Schizosaccharomyces pombe: one gene and its partners. The main gene of each other region encodes a partner of the protein of the gene in region 2 in a complex. Each region holds a gene or a part of one and is shown on either strand. Other genes may lie near its edges.

Evidence for each region.
Region 1: laf2 (region 2) and dep1 share a complex: the UniProt entries of both Schizosaccharomyces pombe proteins name them as parts of the RPD3C(L) complex.
Region 3: laf2 (region 2) and rxt3 share a complex: the UniProt entries of both Schizosaccharomyces pombe proteins name them as parts of the RPD3C(L) complex.

The regions. Positions count from the first base shown.
Region 1 is NC_003423.3:3,798,213-3,804,009, reverse strand, and holds dep1 (Rpd3L histone deacetylase complex subunit, Sds3-like family protein Dep1), read left to right. Parts: upstream 1-2,860; 5' UTR 2,861-3,003; coding exon 3,004-4,479; 3' UTR 4,480-4,825; downstream 4,826-5,797. Other genes in the region: cqd1 (ABC1 kinase family protein ), read right to left, coding at 1-1,125, 1,181-1,813; vps1301 (lipid transfer protein), read left to right, coding at 5,307-5,328, 5,380-5,492, 5,544-5,797. UniProt on the Schizosaccharomyces pombe protein: Component of the RPD3C(L) histone deacetylase complex (HDAC) responsible for the deacetylation of lysine residues on the N-terminal part of the core histones (H2A, H2B, H3 and H4).
Region 2 is NC_003421.2:396,645-401,952, forward strand, and holds laf2 (Clr6-associated factor 2 Laf2), read left to right. Parts: upstream 1-2,359; 5' UTR 2,360-2,435; coding exon 2,436-3,254; 3' UTR 3,255-3,858; downstream 3,859-5,308. Other genes in the region: rpl1902 (60S ribosomal protein L19), read left to right, coding at 4,123-4,704. UniProt on the Schizosaccharomyces pombe protein: Component of the RPD3C(L) histone deacetylase complex (HDAC) responsible for the deacetylation of lysine residues on the N-terminal part of the core histones (H2A, H2B, H3 and H4).
Region 3 is NC_003421.2:1,043,180-1,048,723, reverse strand, and holds rxt3 (Clr6 and Rpd3L histone deacetylase complex LCCL domain subunit Rxt3), read right to left. Parts: upstream 3,258-5,544; coding exon 3,226-3,257; exon of another isoform or gene 3,180-3,225; coding exon 2,156-3,179; 3' UTR 1,267-2,155; downstream 1-1,266. Other genes in the region: SPOM_SPCC1259.08 (uncharacterized protein), read right to left, coding at 1-121; SPOM_SPCC1259.16 (uncharacterized protein), read left to right, coding at 3,837-3,967, 4,021-4,102; taf8 (transcription factor TFIID complex subunit 8), read right to left, coding at 4,169-4,743, 4,800-4,893. UniProt on the Schizosaccharomyces pombe protein: Component of the RPD3C(L) histone deacetylase complex (HDAC) responsible for the deacetylation of lysine residues on the N-terminal part of the core histones (H2A, H2B, H3 and H4).

The DNA of each region.
Region 1 (5,797 bases), on a different chromosome or scaffold from region 2:
TGATTTCAGTGAAAGCGTGCTCTTTTGAATTTCATTCAACAAATGTTCCATTTTAAGAGCAAATATGTCTTTGTTTATAACGCGTTCTGTCTGCCTGCTCCTTTCAACCATCAACAGTCCAGCCTCATAGCCATGGAAAGTAAGTACGGCTTGAAACAGATCCAAAAAATTTTTCTGATCCTGCGTACTAAGTTTCGTTACTAATCCAGCATCCAAAAATACTAAAGTCGGTCGATAGCCCAAGATGTTTAATTCTTCCATAGCAGAATCCCATTCCTCCGTCGAACATGTACTTAGAATTTTATAAATTGAGTCATTAATCTCATTATCTTGATTAAAGATTGTTTTAGGGATTCCTTTGTAAAATTTAACAAGGACATTACCCGGATGAAGATCAGCATGTGTAAAGTTGTCAACAATAAGCATTTGAAATAATGCATTATTTCCTGTGTTAGCTAACAACTTGTTAAATGGTCCTGACTTATGTTTGAGGAACGCGCTTAATGGGATACCCGGCATATAGTCTTCTAGTAGGATTTGATTAGTCGTGTAATCATCATAGGGAGCTGGAAATTCAACATATCTATTTCCTCTAAAGTTAAGACGGAACTGGTTGAGATGAAGCGCCTCATAATGTAAATTCAATTGCTGGTTTAACATTGCCCCAAATACCTTAACTTCGTCGGGCAGAGAAAGCCACTTCATTGAAGGTACCAAATTAATTAATTTTGCGAAGAAACCTAAGATTTGTAAGTCTAAAGAAATGTATTTTTCAACATTCGGGTGCAAAACTTTAATGGCTACATCTTGAGTCACTGGCGCATCAGAGATATTTTTCTGTCGAAACCCTATAGATTGTAGCATACTTGTAAAGTAGGAATTATCTTGCTGCGTAGCTGCTTTCTTGATGGTAGCCGTATAGACTTGAGCAATTGCTCCAACACCTATAGGTATTGGGTTAAAATTAACAAAAATTTCCTCGATAGATTCCACTTTATAAGTCTTGCAGATGACTGATTGAGTATAGGCAAGGCTGTGGGGCGTTACATGTGAATGTAATTTGGACAGTGTTTTACAGAAAGCAGGAGGAAACAAATCTGTCCGTGAAGCAGCCCATTGTCCCAACTGCAAAATAAAAAAATAATGTTAGTAACATGATAAGCGTAAATTCAAAACGTACCTTGATAAACGTTGCTCCTGCTCTTTCTAATTGAGTAACGAGGAAACGAAGCCAAATGGATACGGTTAAAGACGACAAAGATCGAAGATGCAGGAAAGAAATAAGAGCGATAAACGGTAAGGTAATAATAATTGGAGAGAAAATAATAAATAAATTAAATGACCTGAGGAGAATATTAAAAAATTGTTTTATTTTTCCAAAAATAGAACGAGGTCGATTGCTTCTCTCTTCTAATTCAAGTTCGTCAAAGGAGAAAATATTATTCTTTCGATTTTTGACTCTGTATAAAATCCATAATCCTCCGACCGTAAAAGGGAGGACAAGAAATGTAATCCTTAGTATCCTCCATTGCTTCTGGTCTTCACTTTTTTGTCGGGTTGTAAACTTTCTTGCAAATATAGGTTTGGGGAATAAAGATATATGCTTCAATCGATTAACCAGTACGTGCTTTTTTTTGTATGGTGACCAAACTGACTGTGTCCCGCATAACCTTTTCCATCTTGTGTTCTGCGAGTTAACGACAGGAATATAATTTCTTTGAATAATGAAAGCAAAACGAGAGTTTGCAGAAGGAATCATGCTTAGACTAAGTCCCGAACGTATGTGAGAATTCCAGTGAGAAAAACTAATCATGTTCACCAATTATTGACTTTCAGAAGAGCATTTCCTTATCAAGAATCAAAAAAATAAATAAACTAATTACAATGGGTATTTTCGATTGAAAACACTGGCAAACCTGATAAAGAAAATAGGAATTGTTCAATAAATGTGTATAGCAGCTACTAAAAGAGGTGTTTCAAAGAATTTAGGAAACCCTGTCAACCTTTAATATCTTGAAAATAAAGAATGCACCAGTTCAAAAATATTGCTCAAATTTACGTGTCACTAGTGTCTATTGGTGTCAACGTCGAATGACGCTGTCTACTTGTGACTGGGAGAAAGAAAAATAATAATTGTTAGCCAAAATGAAGACTGTAATAATAATCAATTCTTTCATTTTATAAATAAAATATTGACTAATTAATGCTCAGTTCCTATTTGGATTCTATAGAATTGAACTTACAGTATGATAAACTGGATATGATCATCTAGTACGTGAAGAAACATTTTTTTATTCATTATTACCAATAAAATGTAATTTATCAAAATTTCAAAGTTCTAATTGAAGGGAAGATTATTAAAATATAAAAAATGACTGATTATAGGAATCACATTTTTTTTCCTTATACACCTATAATCGGTAATATTCAAATAAGTTAAATAATCAGTTCATGGTAGTATTCTGCTGCCAAAGAGAGATAATTGTAAAATCGCTAGCAGTTGATAAAATAAAGTATAAATTGAAATTAAAATGGAATTGTTTGTACTGAATTAAAAAGCTTTACCATCATTACTTCAATTGCCGTTAACTCAGAGACTAGCATAGAGTTTATCTATAGAGACTCTTTGATTGATTTAATAAAAAGCCTTTGATCGACGATGGTTCATTCGCCAAGTTTCATTGATGAGTAACAGTTGACTGAGAATATTTCACCTAACCCATTCTTGATAAAAGTATAAATTGGAAGTGCTAATTTAGAACAAATTATTAAGTTCTTGGCTCAAAATTTTGAGATGTCCCTACAGGATGTGTAAAAGTTGAGTATGAATATTATTACTGATGCCCAGCTATCAAATGTCATCCTCTCCCCAACACTACCAATTCATTCGAAAACATACATATTGAATGAAAACACACGAAAATCAACGATACTGTTTTTTAGATTCTGACATTTGTAAATTACGAGAGGGTATTTTGAACGAAGTTGAAGAATTAATTCAGGATGACCGAAAATTTGCAGTCGGAATCAATTCCCCATGAAATACTCCCTAAGGAGCCTTTTGATTTACCAATGAACAACTTAAAAAGCTCTCCTAAAAATAAAGATTCAGAGAAACGAATAAATAATTCGATCGCTGAAAGTGAGCAGGTTGTTGATTCGGCTCTATCTAATCCAGAGACCAATGCTAATGAGGATATTATCGCACCTCAATTGCCTTCTCAAAATTCTGAAATCATTGAAAAAAACTCGCCAGTGAACAAACTGAACAGTTCCACGTCCCTCACAACTCATCAGTTAGCGTCACTTCCTAAATTAGAGGTAACAGATCATGATAATGTATCTGAGGCAGAAACTGTAGTCTTAAATGAAGATGAAGAGAAAGAAACATCTTTAGTTGGTTCGGTATCAGTCACTGAGGACTTAGGTGACTCAAGTGCAATTGGCAGAACCATACTGGTAAACAACTCTGTGGAACCTCAGATGGAAAACACAGCAAATATAACCATTGTTAGTCCTTCATTGAAGGAATCTGACTTTGAGTCTGAAGAAAAAGCTACCAATGACAACAATGGACTCATAGAGACTAACCACAACTCGAAACTTGAGGAGTCTTCTGAGCATGAGGAGGAAGAAGACGAAGAGTCGAATATTGAAAGAACCGAAGATTCTGACCACCAGATACCACAAAGAGGTGGAACTTTAGAAGCACCCAGAAAAGGTGGTCCTCGAAGTGGCGTTGGAAGTCGAAAGCGTAAACGTGCAACAGTTTCTCGAAAATGGTCTACTAACAGTGAGAGCAAAATAAAAAGGGTAGCTCTTGAGACCAGCCAAGAGGAATCCGATCGTGAGATTGCAGATCGTCGTTCCGCATCTGAACAGGCTCATGAAGCTGACGATGAAAAGGCTATAAAACGGAAAGAAGCGTTTGATGCTTTGCTAAATATAGAAACGGAGTTTACTTTTTTACGAAACCGTTTATATGGGAAGAAACTGTTAAAGCTGAACGAGCATGAGGAAATGATACAAAACGAAACCCATGAGCGTTTTAATGCCTGCATTGATCTTATAACAGAGCGGCGAGATGATCGTGTGCGTTTAGCTACTGAAAACCTCATGAAACAACTTGGGAATATAAAAAACGTAATGGACTATGTAACGAAACAGAGGAAGTATCAGTTACTGTTTGATAAAAGAAGAATACGACAAGCGCTTCTAACCAAAATTGCAACGAAGTGCTTTCAGCTTTTAAACAAACAAAAATCTGTTCACGATCCCACATATATTACTCAAAAAACCATGTCATATCGCCAAAGTGCCTTGTTACAGAAGCAACGAATTGAATATGAAGCTGCAGTTTTGTGTGAGCTTAATAGTTTTGCTGGGTTTCCGACAGCACCTATTATCGAAACAGCTTCTTTTGATGACATCCGCAACGACCTTTTAGAAATGGGATGCCTCAGTGAAAATCAAGACTAATTTCAAGCATCCTCATTCCCCGCGATAATTCCTAATTTCCTTCACGTTTTACTTCAATTTTGACACACAATTTCCTTTTTGGTACGGTGTCAAGAGTGTTTTTTTTTTTTCAGAGCCTAGTTAAAACTCTTGCCTTTCGTTATCTATTCTAATGTATTTTCTTTTTTTTTTTTTTTTTTTCTAAGCGATAATATAACACATTCGCTCTTCGTTTGTTTCATTTTCTTTAGAATTTACATATTCGGTTAATATTTTTAATTCAGTATTTGTTTCTGACTTAACTAATGAATTAATTTTACAGCGATTCTTTAAGTTTGTAACAGCTATCCGTCTTACTCATTTTGCCTTATAATAAATTTGCTTATGAACAATTAAGTATGTTTAAATTTGATAATAATCATGTGCTTCGCAATCAAAACTAGTTAAGCAAAGTATCCTACTTATCGTTCGATAAAGCTGACTTGTTGACGCATTCAATGGTGTGGCACTTAGCGCCGTAAACAAGTCCTATGTACATTTGAAGGATTTTAATTTAACTGATTTAATAAAAAAAAAAGATTTAGTTTGTTCAAATAAGTAAAGTAATACTCCTTTCACTTAGACTCAATCCGTTTGATGATAAAAAGGTGCGTTATACGGAAATGAAGTTTCCTCTTCTCATAATCGTTTTCTTTTTATATTGAATAATTTTGTTAAATGTATAAATGGAATAAAAAGATTTTCTTTTTCAACAAAACATTCCTCTATTCGCAATTGCATTGCTAACTTTCACCAAGTCGGATGCCAACTGCCTTTTACCTAATTTCAGTGTCAAAGAGCCAACAAACATGTTAGAAGGCCTAGTTGCCGGTATGAATTATACCTTTTTTTGAAAGACATTGATATTAATAAAATAATTAGGCCTCTTGAACAAAATTTTAGGTTCGTATGTTGACAACTTGGATACTAAACAACTAAACATCGGCGTTTGGGGTGGCCATGTTAGTTTGCATAATTTACGAATAAAACCTGAGGTAACTAAAAATGAACGATTGATTGCAGTTTCACTGACAATTGTTTTATAGGCCTTAGATAAACTCGGAATTCCCATTGAAATCACTAGTGGTTTAATTGGCACGTTTACGCTGGAAATTCCATGGTCGAATCTTCGGAACAAATCTTTAACGATCAATATTGAAGACATATATTTGTCAATTCATCCCCAAGCGAAAAACTCTTTAACACGCGATGAGTTGGAGCAATCTCAACAAGCTTTAAAGCAGGAACAGCTGGATAGTTTTGAAATCTTACGGAAAAATTTTCGAGAAACTTTAGAAGA
Region 2 (5,308 bases):
ATTAAAATTACTTTTAAATGAAAAGGATATAAAGTGATGCAAAAAATTCGGCGGGTAATTAGAAACGAGGATTTGACGTGTTTTCAAAAATTTGATAGAACGTAACAAAAAAACTATATAATAATAAACCAGGCAACTTTTGTGTGTTTCGAATATTTTTGAAAGTAATGTATAAATAAAAAATGGAAGTTATCCAGCTCTACGATTTAACACTCCATAGAACAAAAAAGAGGATAAAGAGACAACGACACGTGCTTTCGCGTTTTATATTTTTAAACGCGGAAAGCAATAAAAACAATCAACTTCTTAACAACTAAGGGAAAAGAACTCGCCAGAAAACTGGTAATACTACTGTAACGTAAACAAACGTCGTTACCCACGAAAGACAAAAAAGTCGGAAAAGGATATGGATATCTAATGTACGAAAACAACTTTATGGATCCAAAAGTAATATCTTCCTCAAGTCCTTCCCCAATTGTCTCGCCGGTACTGTGAAAAGGGAGAAATCGCTATTTTTTGAAAATTTTTCGTGTCGATAAAGTCGCGTTATTTTTCGTTATTTTTCGTTATCTTTCTCAGCGCATCAATCCAAACTGACCTTGAACTGTATTAATCTGACCTAACAATACTATGTACTGCAGTGTAATCTCGTTAAAGTAATTTAAGAAATTTCATTATGCAGACATAATGATGCGTTAGGCTGAAAACCGTCTAGTGGTATTGTTTAAAAAAGATGGCCGTGCTATTGAACTAAGAAGTTTAGTAGGACAGTAATGTTTTATTATATTATATTCTTTAGGTAAGTTAACTATAGCAATGAATCTTTATCACTAGAATCTGACTATGGGTGACTTATAGGTTATGGCGATAGGTAACGCAATTTAGTATCGTTTCCTTGGTCAAAACCTGAAATAAAGATCTGGGAACAAAGTCAAATATTGTTTAGCATGTAGTATATAAATATATTATTTAATCTTTATAATTATCATTATCTTCTTAGCTTACACTATGTTGTCACATTAATTTTTTTTATTTTTTTATTTTTTTGCGTTGACAGGTAGAATTCCCTTCAACGTGTAAATAAAACTACTATTTTCCATATGCAATTTCATTGATTTGAAAATATTTTCTAAAATCCTAACATCAATCGATTTATTGTTTATTGTTTTTTTTTTTGAAATCAATGTTATAGATTCTGAAACAGTCATTTTTTCCAAAAGGTTTTCAGACCTAATAATTAGAATATGAACACTAAATTGCTGTGAGTACTAATATAGTAAACTTTATTCCTTCAACTTTGGTATTTTATTTAATTTATCACTTTTTGGAAGCATTACTTCAACTAGAATTTTTATAATATGAACAAAGCGTTTGTCTGGATTGATTGTAAAAAATTGCAAAACGAACGAAAACACTCTACAGAATAGCACCAGTGTATTGTAATCGGGATTTAAAATTAGAAGTATTTCTGAATTATCTGGTCCATTTTAAATAAATTATCGCACGTTTTCGCTAAGAGTAAGCATAAAGGTGTAACAATATTCACATCCATTGAGTTAACAAATTCATTGTTTATTTTTTATTTTTAATGCTTGGTTAAATTACATTTTAATTTTAATTTTTTAAACGGAACTAAATATCTATTTGGAGTCTATTATACTGAAATTGAAATGGATTATTTACTCGAATACCTTGTAAACAATTGGTGTTCTTGTTATTTACACAATTCCACAAAAGTAAGGATAATTTACTGCATCTTAATTTTAGTATCCTCATTATGCTAAATCAATTAGACAATCCAAAAACCACATGCAGTGAACGAATAGTATTTTATAGCTGTATTTTTTGATCGTCAAGTATTGCAAAGCGACATCTCACTATAAAACAATTTCGATTTGAAAAAATGCTATCTGCATAAGATATTCTATAGCCAAATGAAATAATATCCGCTGGTCATAAAGGTTAAGTTTGAAGAAATGCAATTCCCAAGTACTAGGTACTTGAAGTATATGTTTACAATTCGATTAGGTACATATTTAAACTGTACCGTTTAAAATTGCATAAAAACATTGAATCAAACTTTTTTTATTTTTTTGTTTAAAATTTTTGCCTATCTATAATTAGCAAGATGTGATACAATTGTGATATTTAGTCTTGCAAAAATACTCATCATGGATCGTATTTTCAATAGAAACCTAACAAAGTGTTTTGAGAATGTTTTGTTTTATAATAATAGAAAGCATGCAAAAACACTTGTACCTTCTGCTAAACAAGTTTTCTTTGAATACGAATCGAAAACATTGCTTTCTACAACGGAGAGTAACAAAGTGACAACGAAACCCTAGTCCACCGAAAAGTTGTCTTCTGCAAAGCACAGAAATTACCCATTGAGGTTTCTTCCGCGGTCAATTGTATTGAGAAATCGAATTTCAAAGATGCAAATTTTAAAAGATCAGGAGAACTTAAATCCCGATGGAGGTAGCTTTGTTTTAATTACACCGCCATTGTCTCCTCCTAAACAGAAATCTTTATCATATACAAATATTTCGAGGAGACATGGCATGCGAGCTTGCATGAAAGGAATTGTTTACGAAGTTTACAAAAATCAACCGAAACTTTGGTTGCAGCAAGAATTAATATGGTTGCGTCGTAAACGGATTCATCCAATTCCTAAAGCTCGTCGTAATAATCATGTAGGTCGATGGGCTAACAGGCATTCCAATGTCTCTTCATCTTCTGGCTCTCGCGGACGCAGTAGTGTCTCTTCTCGAGACTCGTCACCAAGTTACAGCGGTGCTCTCCGGTCTGCTGAAAGAAGCATCTCTTCTAGTCCTTCCACTATTGAGGCCCGTAGAAGAAAATCGGCTCGTGGAAATGGGCTTAATGGTGCCATCGATGTTGCCAACCTTCCCTTTGAAGAGTTGCCGAATTTCTGTCCTGACATGTCTGTACTGGACAACCGTACGCATCCTCGTACACTAAAAGCTGAGTGGAAAGGTCCGCCTTTGGACCTTAGTGATGACCCTTATCGCGATCTCTTGCACCCTGCTGAATTACATTTGGCTTCGACTCTTCGTCTTCCATGTTTGATTTATCTTGATAACAAAAAAAGAATATTTGCGGAATGGCATCATCGTCGTCAACAAGGACTTACTTTTCGAAAAACTGATGCTCAAAGGGCTAGTCGAGTTGACGTAAACAAAGCCAGCCGTTTATGGAAGGCATTTCATGAAGTCGGCTTTTTCGACGATTAAACCTTTTACCTTCTGTGCTAAGATGGAAATATTTTGTTGAATCACCCATCTTGCTCTCCAAATACCCTTTCATACCAAATTTGCTTTTATTGTTATTTTCTCTGCTTAAAAGACTTTACTACCCCATTTACCAATTTTTAAAAAAGTCTTTCTTTTTGTACACTCAGCAAAGTGTTAACTTAAAGCTACATTTTGTGCTTGTTTATACTTTGTAACCATTTTATACCCTTCTTTTCTCTTCAGATTTTTGGTTGGTATGCTTAATTAAGCTTAATTCGTTCTTTATATTGTCTTCTTTTCATTTTATTATGATCCTTGTATTTAAAAAAAAGAGAAGCTATTGTATATATGGTCTTTGGGAGTGCCGTTTGTATTTTCTAACATTGTACCTAGTATATCATGCTTTTAAAAAAAGGCTACCTAAAAAATGCTCAAAAATTTTTGATGAGAGGCTGTGTTCTTCCAACTCTCTACTCTCCATTTTGATTCCTTTATTTATACTTAATTATATATTTAAAAGCAGAAAAATGAGGTAGAAAATACTTTGCGATCATCCTTGTTGAAGCATTTTCTTTAATAATCATTCTTTTTATATTCCTCAGTATTTCTTAAGATTTTGTGACATATTTAATGCATCTTTCCATTGTAGTAGTAACTAACAATTCGGCTTTTTTCTTTGAGCTTTTTGCATTTTCAATTATTTACATTTTCCATACTACTCAATTAGTCAATGTTACCTATATGATATCGTCACTTGTTTTTTTGTAAAAATTGAGGGTAGGGTTAAACACAACACATTGTGACTGCTTTGATTAGACAATTTGAAAGACTAAAAGCACAATCGTCCCCAACCCAACCCATATTAACAATGGCAAATCTGAGAACACAGAAGCGTCTTGCTGCCTCTGTTTTAAAATGCGGCAAGCGCAAAGTTTGGATGGATCCCAATGAGATCAGTGAAATTAGCAATGCTAACAGCCGTCAAAATATCCGCAAATTGGTCAAGGATGGTTTGGTCATTCGCAAGCCCAATTTGATGCACTCTCGTTTCCGTATCCGTAAAACTCATGCTGCCAAGCGTCTTGGTCGTCACACCGGTTATGGTAAGCGTAAGGGTACTGCTGAGGCTCGTATGCCCTCTACTGTTGTTTGGATGCGTCGTCAACGTGTCTTGCGTCGTCTCCTTCGCAAGTACCGTGAGTCTGGTAAGATAGATAAGCATCTTTACCACACTCTTTATTTGGAAGCCAAGGGTAACACCTTCAAGCACAAACGTGCCTTGATTGAACATATCCAACGTGCCAAGGCCGAGGCCAACCGTACCAAGTTGATCCAAGAGCAACAAGATGCTCGTCGTGCTCGTGCCAAGGCTGCCCGTCAACGTAGAGCCAAGGCTGTTGAAGAAAAACGTGAGCAAATTTACACTGCTGCCGAAAAGATCGAGGAATAATTGCCTTAATACATTTATGTTTTGACATATGCACTTTTGGTTTAGGCGGTAAATTAATTTTTCAATAGTGTTTTAAATATACTATGCTTGTTGTGTACATTAGTAAGGTGAAACGAATTCGTAGATTGTAGAACTTTCTCCTTTGACAAATGACTTCGGACTGGAAGTTAAAAAATTTTTTCAATTCATCTGTACTAATTAATCTATGAGTATGTTATGTCGTTCATAGTTAAACAGCACTAAGTTTAAACTACTGAGGTATTGTGTTTTATTATTGATTTGTAACATATAATCATTTATAGTAGTTGTCTAAGCACATTCCATGTACTATCTATCTATCTATAGTCCTGTTTTCAAGAACACACAACGATAAGCGTTGTACTATCCCTCAACCTGCACCATGGTTGTAACGGTCAAATCAATATATGCAAAGGATTGTATTTAATGAATAGCCAAATCCTTGAAGTTTCGATTTGTTTGTTTACATACTTATTTATGAAAAATCACACTTCGTTGGCATGGCAACCACCTGCTCATTTGCTTTCCTCACTCATACTGGAAGAGAGAAAAGTATCCGTCTCCCAAAATATGAATTTATAGCATT
Region 3 (5,544 bases), 650 kb from region 2:
CAATACAAAATTGTACAGCCGTGCGTTTAGCAGACGGAATTTTCTCGTGAGAAGGGATGTCAGTAGTAGCCAAGTCGCCGTTGCCTTTGTAATGCAAAAGTATACTAAGTAACCCAGTCATCGATGGATGCCTTAATAAAAATAAGAAAATAGATGGTTTGATTTAGTGCAATTGTAAGGATAGTATCCAGACGATCAAGCAATAGCAAAGAAGACAAAAGCAGATTGTATAATCTTTTATGATAACGTCTAAAGTAGAGACTTTTAACGAAAGCTGTAATGTATGTAACTGAGCTAGTTAAATGTGTTCGCTGAAAGGAAAGATGAGTTGAACTTTCAAAATCGCACAGTTAAGATAGAAAAAAATCAACTTAAAATGAAGTCAATCGATCAATAAGTGATAAACAACGAGAGGCTCAAGTTTTTAAGAAGTATAAATAAAAAATTATGAGAGGTACAAACGAAAAGTCACTTGGACAGCAGTGAGTAAGTAAGACGAGCGTCGCAAAAATCAAGTTTTAAAAAAATACTATAAGTCGATAAAAGAATTACTTGTTGAACCTATAACGACACGAAAGAAGATATTCACGTGAATTTGTTAAAGAGAATACATGATTTCCAAAAATATTCTCAAATAGTCTTCACAATAAAATATATATATGATCGTTTTTCTTCTTTTTGAAAATAGAGCAAAAGCAAAACTGAGTTAAAATCGCCAACAACAATTTCTCAGTACTTTGAATGACTTTACCAACGTAATAAAAGAAATCACGGTGATTTTGACGACCTTGCAATCCTGCAGATAATTTTGAGGGATCGAAAAAGCACTTAGCGATTAAGACTAATAGAGTGCTGTACCTCAGATGTACGTCTCCTCTTTAGCAAGTGAAACAAGATAATACACAGTTTCGTCGTCCAATTCACCAATTGAGTAGTAGATGGCTAGTCGTTGAACCAGTCAGAAACCAAGAACTGGAATCTTGATATACCAGAAATTGAGTTGCACGCGGCTTTTAAGGCAACGCTCTTATTTATGTCGTGTACTCCAAAGTTATGGTTGGGAAAAGAAGAAAGCGTACCGCCCCCGCTCTCAAGTCATTCAGCCTTATTTAGGGTAGGGTTCCGAAAACCAGTCTAACGCATATGTAATGTATGATGTTGGCCGCCGCCCTAGTTGTTAGTGCAAAAATAAATATTTAGCATCCAACAAGGATAAATTGATGTACAGTGTGCTGCGTCTTACGATCGTCGCCTAAAAGGTTGCTACACCTTTTCGAATATTTTCAAAGTTTTGTTTTACCATCGATTTTATACTCGTAAATAATATATTCTACATGTTTTAACTTGCCCTAGATTTTTGAAATTTAAATAATGAGCGGCAATTTTACATTTTGAAACGACGGCGCAAAAGTAATGAAAATTTCTGTAATTCCGCTATGATTCCATTCCGCGTCCTCATTAGTTCCGCAAACTTTATAATCAACAATACTCAATACACGGAGGAAATTAGACAATGCCAGATAATTAATTATTCACGTTGTTCTTTTGTATCTTCAGTTAATCAGCTGAACAAAGACAAACTGTCTGTTTGTGTTGTTATGGCACGAGTAATGAGACCGACGTATCGTTGTCATGTAAATAAAGCAGTGGTAAAAAAAAAAAAGAAAAAAAAAAGAGGCCTCTATTAACAAAAAAAAGGGTTTAATAGTATTGAAGGTATTTAAATTAAAAACGTATATACTTTGATTGTAGAACCGAAAATATCCAAACCAGACTGCGGAAGTCTACTATTGATTGCTATGATCATCGGATCAATATACTATCTGCGGGATACCTAATTTTGGAGGCGAGCGTTCGCACGAGTAACTAGGAACGAGGACGCCAAGGCAAAGGAATTTTGCAAAACCAATGCGATATTGTACAACGCTAATTGCTTATGTAGTAATTGCACATCAACGGACACATTATTACACGAATTTGACATAGACAAAAAAGACAGTTAGCGAAGTAGAGCGAGAAGCTTTTGCGATTCCGTAAATTCGCGAAAGTGAAATTGAATGAAGTGTTGAAAAATAAGTAATTTCTTGGTACAGGCAGATATATAAAAAGAAAAAAAAATATTTTTGAAAAGAAACCGATTAATAATATCAAAAAATTAGATTTTAAAAGTAGAAGAGCGTGATAGCTCTAAGCGAGCTTGTAGCCGTTCTTCCAGAGTGAGTGTATGTATGGAGTTTTCAAAAATTGAGGCACACGCTGGCTTCCAAGTTACTTCTTTTATTTTAAGACTTATGCCATCTTGACGAGAAGACCAGCTTCTACTCTCAATTTGGTTTTTCCTAGTGCCTTTGTAATGAACTAAAGGAGGAAGTATGTACAAGTCGACAACGGCAATTTTTCTGACTGGCTTCAAAAGAGAAAAGCATCCACAATGGGCAAGTATAGTAGCAATATCGGAATCATCAGTATACACATCGGTCCCCCATATTTCTCGTCTGCAAAGTCTGGGATTGATGGCTGCATTCAGCCATTTGATGTCGATTGTCACACGAACGAACTTACCAATTGAGGAATATAAAAGAGGAAATTCAAGCCAAGGAGTGTATTCATATTCGGTGACTGGAAATAAAGATTCAGACGCTGGATATCGGTTAAGAAAAGGTTCCAACGCACTATTATCTATACTGATTATCGGAGAAACGAATTGTCGAACTTGGAATTGCGGATAAGATGTCGTTTTGGACAAGGAAGTTGATAAATTGGATGGACGCGATTCCATACTAATGGAATCAGCACTTGTAGCCGTTGGCGCTCCAGGATGTGAATACTTGGCTTCCTCTTCTCCTGATGACTGAGTAGGAAGAGTTTTTTGACGTTTAACAGAGCTTGTATTTTCCTCTTGGTCGGAAACCCCTTTCCTTTCCCAAACTGAATTTGGATATTTGGCTTCAGAAGGTTGTTTGGTATATGACATGGGTGTCGATGTAGCCATTGGTAAAGTATTCATATTCATATTCCCCATTCCATTTTCCGAGTACTCAGGATCTCCGTTATCATTAGAACTTTCTAAGATAGACCCTATAGAAAGCTTGATATTTGAAGGTTGAGATGGCTGTGAGCTACCATTTGTACTAGTTTCTTCTATTTTCATAGAGTCCTTTGGATCAAATGTTTTTTTCCTACAAGTTAGTTTAACAAACTAAAAAAGTTCCCTGAAATACATACGATTGCTCATTTTCTGGTGTCTTTTCCTCCATGAATGTTTATAATCTAATGTTCAACTCGTCACCGAGATTTGTAGGCTTGATTTAACCATAGTACGGTAAAAATCGCTATGCGCTTTAAAGCATCGGTAGTATTTGTCTACATACATTTCATATAATCTACTGTCGTTAGCATATGACATTAGTCTTCAAAACCTTGGATAAGATTATTCATACTTGGATTTTACCCATTTCAAATAACCTAAGGGTGTAATGAAGAGATGCTGCGTATTCACTGAAGAAATTGCTTTATGCTGGAACTTTATAAAAATACAGTTGCAAGACAAGTCTGATAGCGATTACTTTAAAGCAAATATTCGTAAATACACAAAAAAGTACAACTTAGTTACATTCGCACAGAACGATCGAAAAACCCTGTGGCGTAGAATTTGTACTAGAGCCTCTATTATTTCATTTGTTTATTAACTCCTTACGTTATTTTACTACTTAAATACAAGAGAAAGAGGGGATCAAGGCAATTTTATTGAATGAAGGAGTAGCGACAAATAATAAAAATAGGTTGATTGAAAGCGGAACTAACTGCACAAAGAGAAAAGGAAATTTTCATTCGCAATGTCACAAAAAAGTCATAAAGAGAAACTTGAAAAGCCGGCATATAAATGCATGAAACAATATATCTGTGAAAAAGTAAGTGCACATGAGAACGACGTCGTCTGTATTACAGTTCAAAGATTTTTTCAAGTGTAAGTCTATAGGGAACATTATTATAGAGAAAGAAAAGCTAATGCAAAAATAGGGTGGATGGACACATGAAGGAAGTTCGACCAATGTCAAATCAGATTGGGTTACAGTCAGGACCTGTCGTTGAGAAAAATTAAAAAAAAAAAGGAAATAAGTTAATCTTTTTTTGATTAACGTAAAAGGAAAGAAATTAACAAGTATATTCACCTTTGGGAGCTCCATTTTTGGGATTCCCAATTTACTAAGTGAAATGACGAAACATCGAGATTTAGCTCGGAGCACGCTTTTTCAAATGAGGCATGACGAGGCGAATCGGCAGAACGTGGTTGATTAACATTTAAAATTTTACGAAGAGCATGTTCAGCAAGCCTGGATTCTTGAGTTGCGAGTTCACGAATCTGTTTAGGAGATGTAGGACGAACGGGATATACGGGGGTAGCCATGTAAGTATGTGATGCAGGAAAAGGAGGTAAATGATTAACGACATAAGCTGGTCTATTTTGAGACACTGCCAGGGATCCCAAAAGTTGAGATACCATTTTCGAATCCAAGGATGATTTGAATTTTGAAGGGATATCCTGACTTTCATTGGCCAGTCTATCTAGTTCATCATTAATTGCAGGAGGTAAAGGTTTTAAATATTTTTCTAATTCTGTTTGAAGGCTTGACATGGGTATATTCAACAAATTGAGCCATAAGGCCACATCTTTAGTCGTAGGAATTGTGTGTTTGCTCAATTGAGTATGAAGAGCAAGTTCTCGAAAAGAGTTCCTCAAATCTATTATTGCTATTAGAAATAAAGAATTTTAATTTTCTCGGTTCGACAGGACTTACATTTGTCCACAGCTTCAACAAAGGATGCTTCTGCTGCTTTAGTCATGCTATCGAATCCCAACTGCTGTAGAATATTCGCGATCACGGCTTCCATGCTGCTAATATATATATTATAAATTTTAGGCTCAAGGATTATAGTTTATTGATTTGCTAGTGCAGCTTTTAGAGACGTTCGTTTACTTTGCGTCGATTTTGAACTATATTTAATTTAGAAGCGAATTTTGAATGTATGCGATGTATGTTTTTAATTAAAAAAATCGAAAATGTCTTCTTTCTCAGTAATATTCAGGTAAAACTAGAATCCCTTCAGAATGCACTTTCTAAGCTTTTTCGTCACAGTTTTTTGTGCGAACCAAGTACTCTGCTCGTGTTACAGTGCTGCATTATTCATATATAATGCGATCAACAGCAATTTGCTATTTGCTATAGCGAAATACATCCTAGCACAATTATTGTTAATCATGTAAACTAAATGGATATAATGAATTGTTCAGAACAAAAGACATAAATAAGCATAAAATGTAACTTTTACAGATTTATTTTTACTTCAATCTTCATGGTATGATTTAGTTAGAACAAAGTCATTCAATCAATAAATACTTGCGAGTATCTATGCCTCATCCGCTACAGAACAAGAAAAACAATGTTTCTTAGCTTACCTTTCGAATTATGGTATTTAAGGATCAATAGTATATGATATACGATGGTATTGTACCGTTAAACAACGTAAAAAATTTGCAGAAAT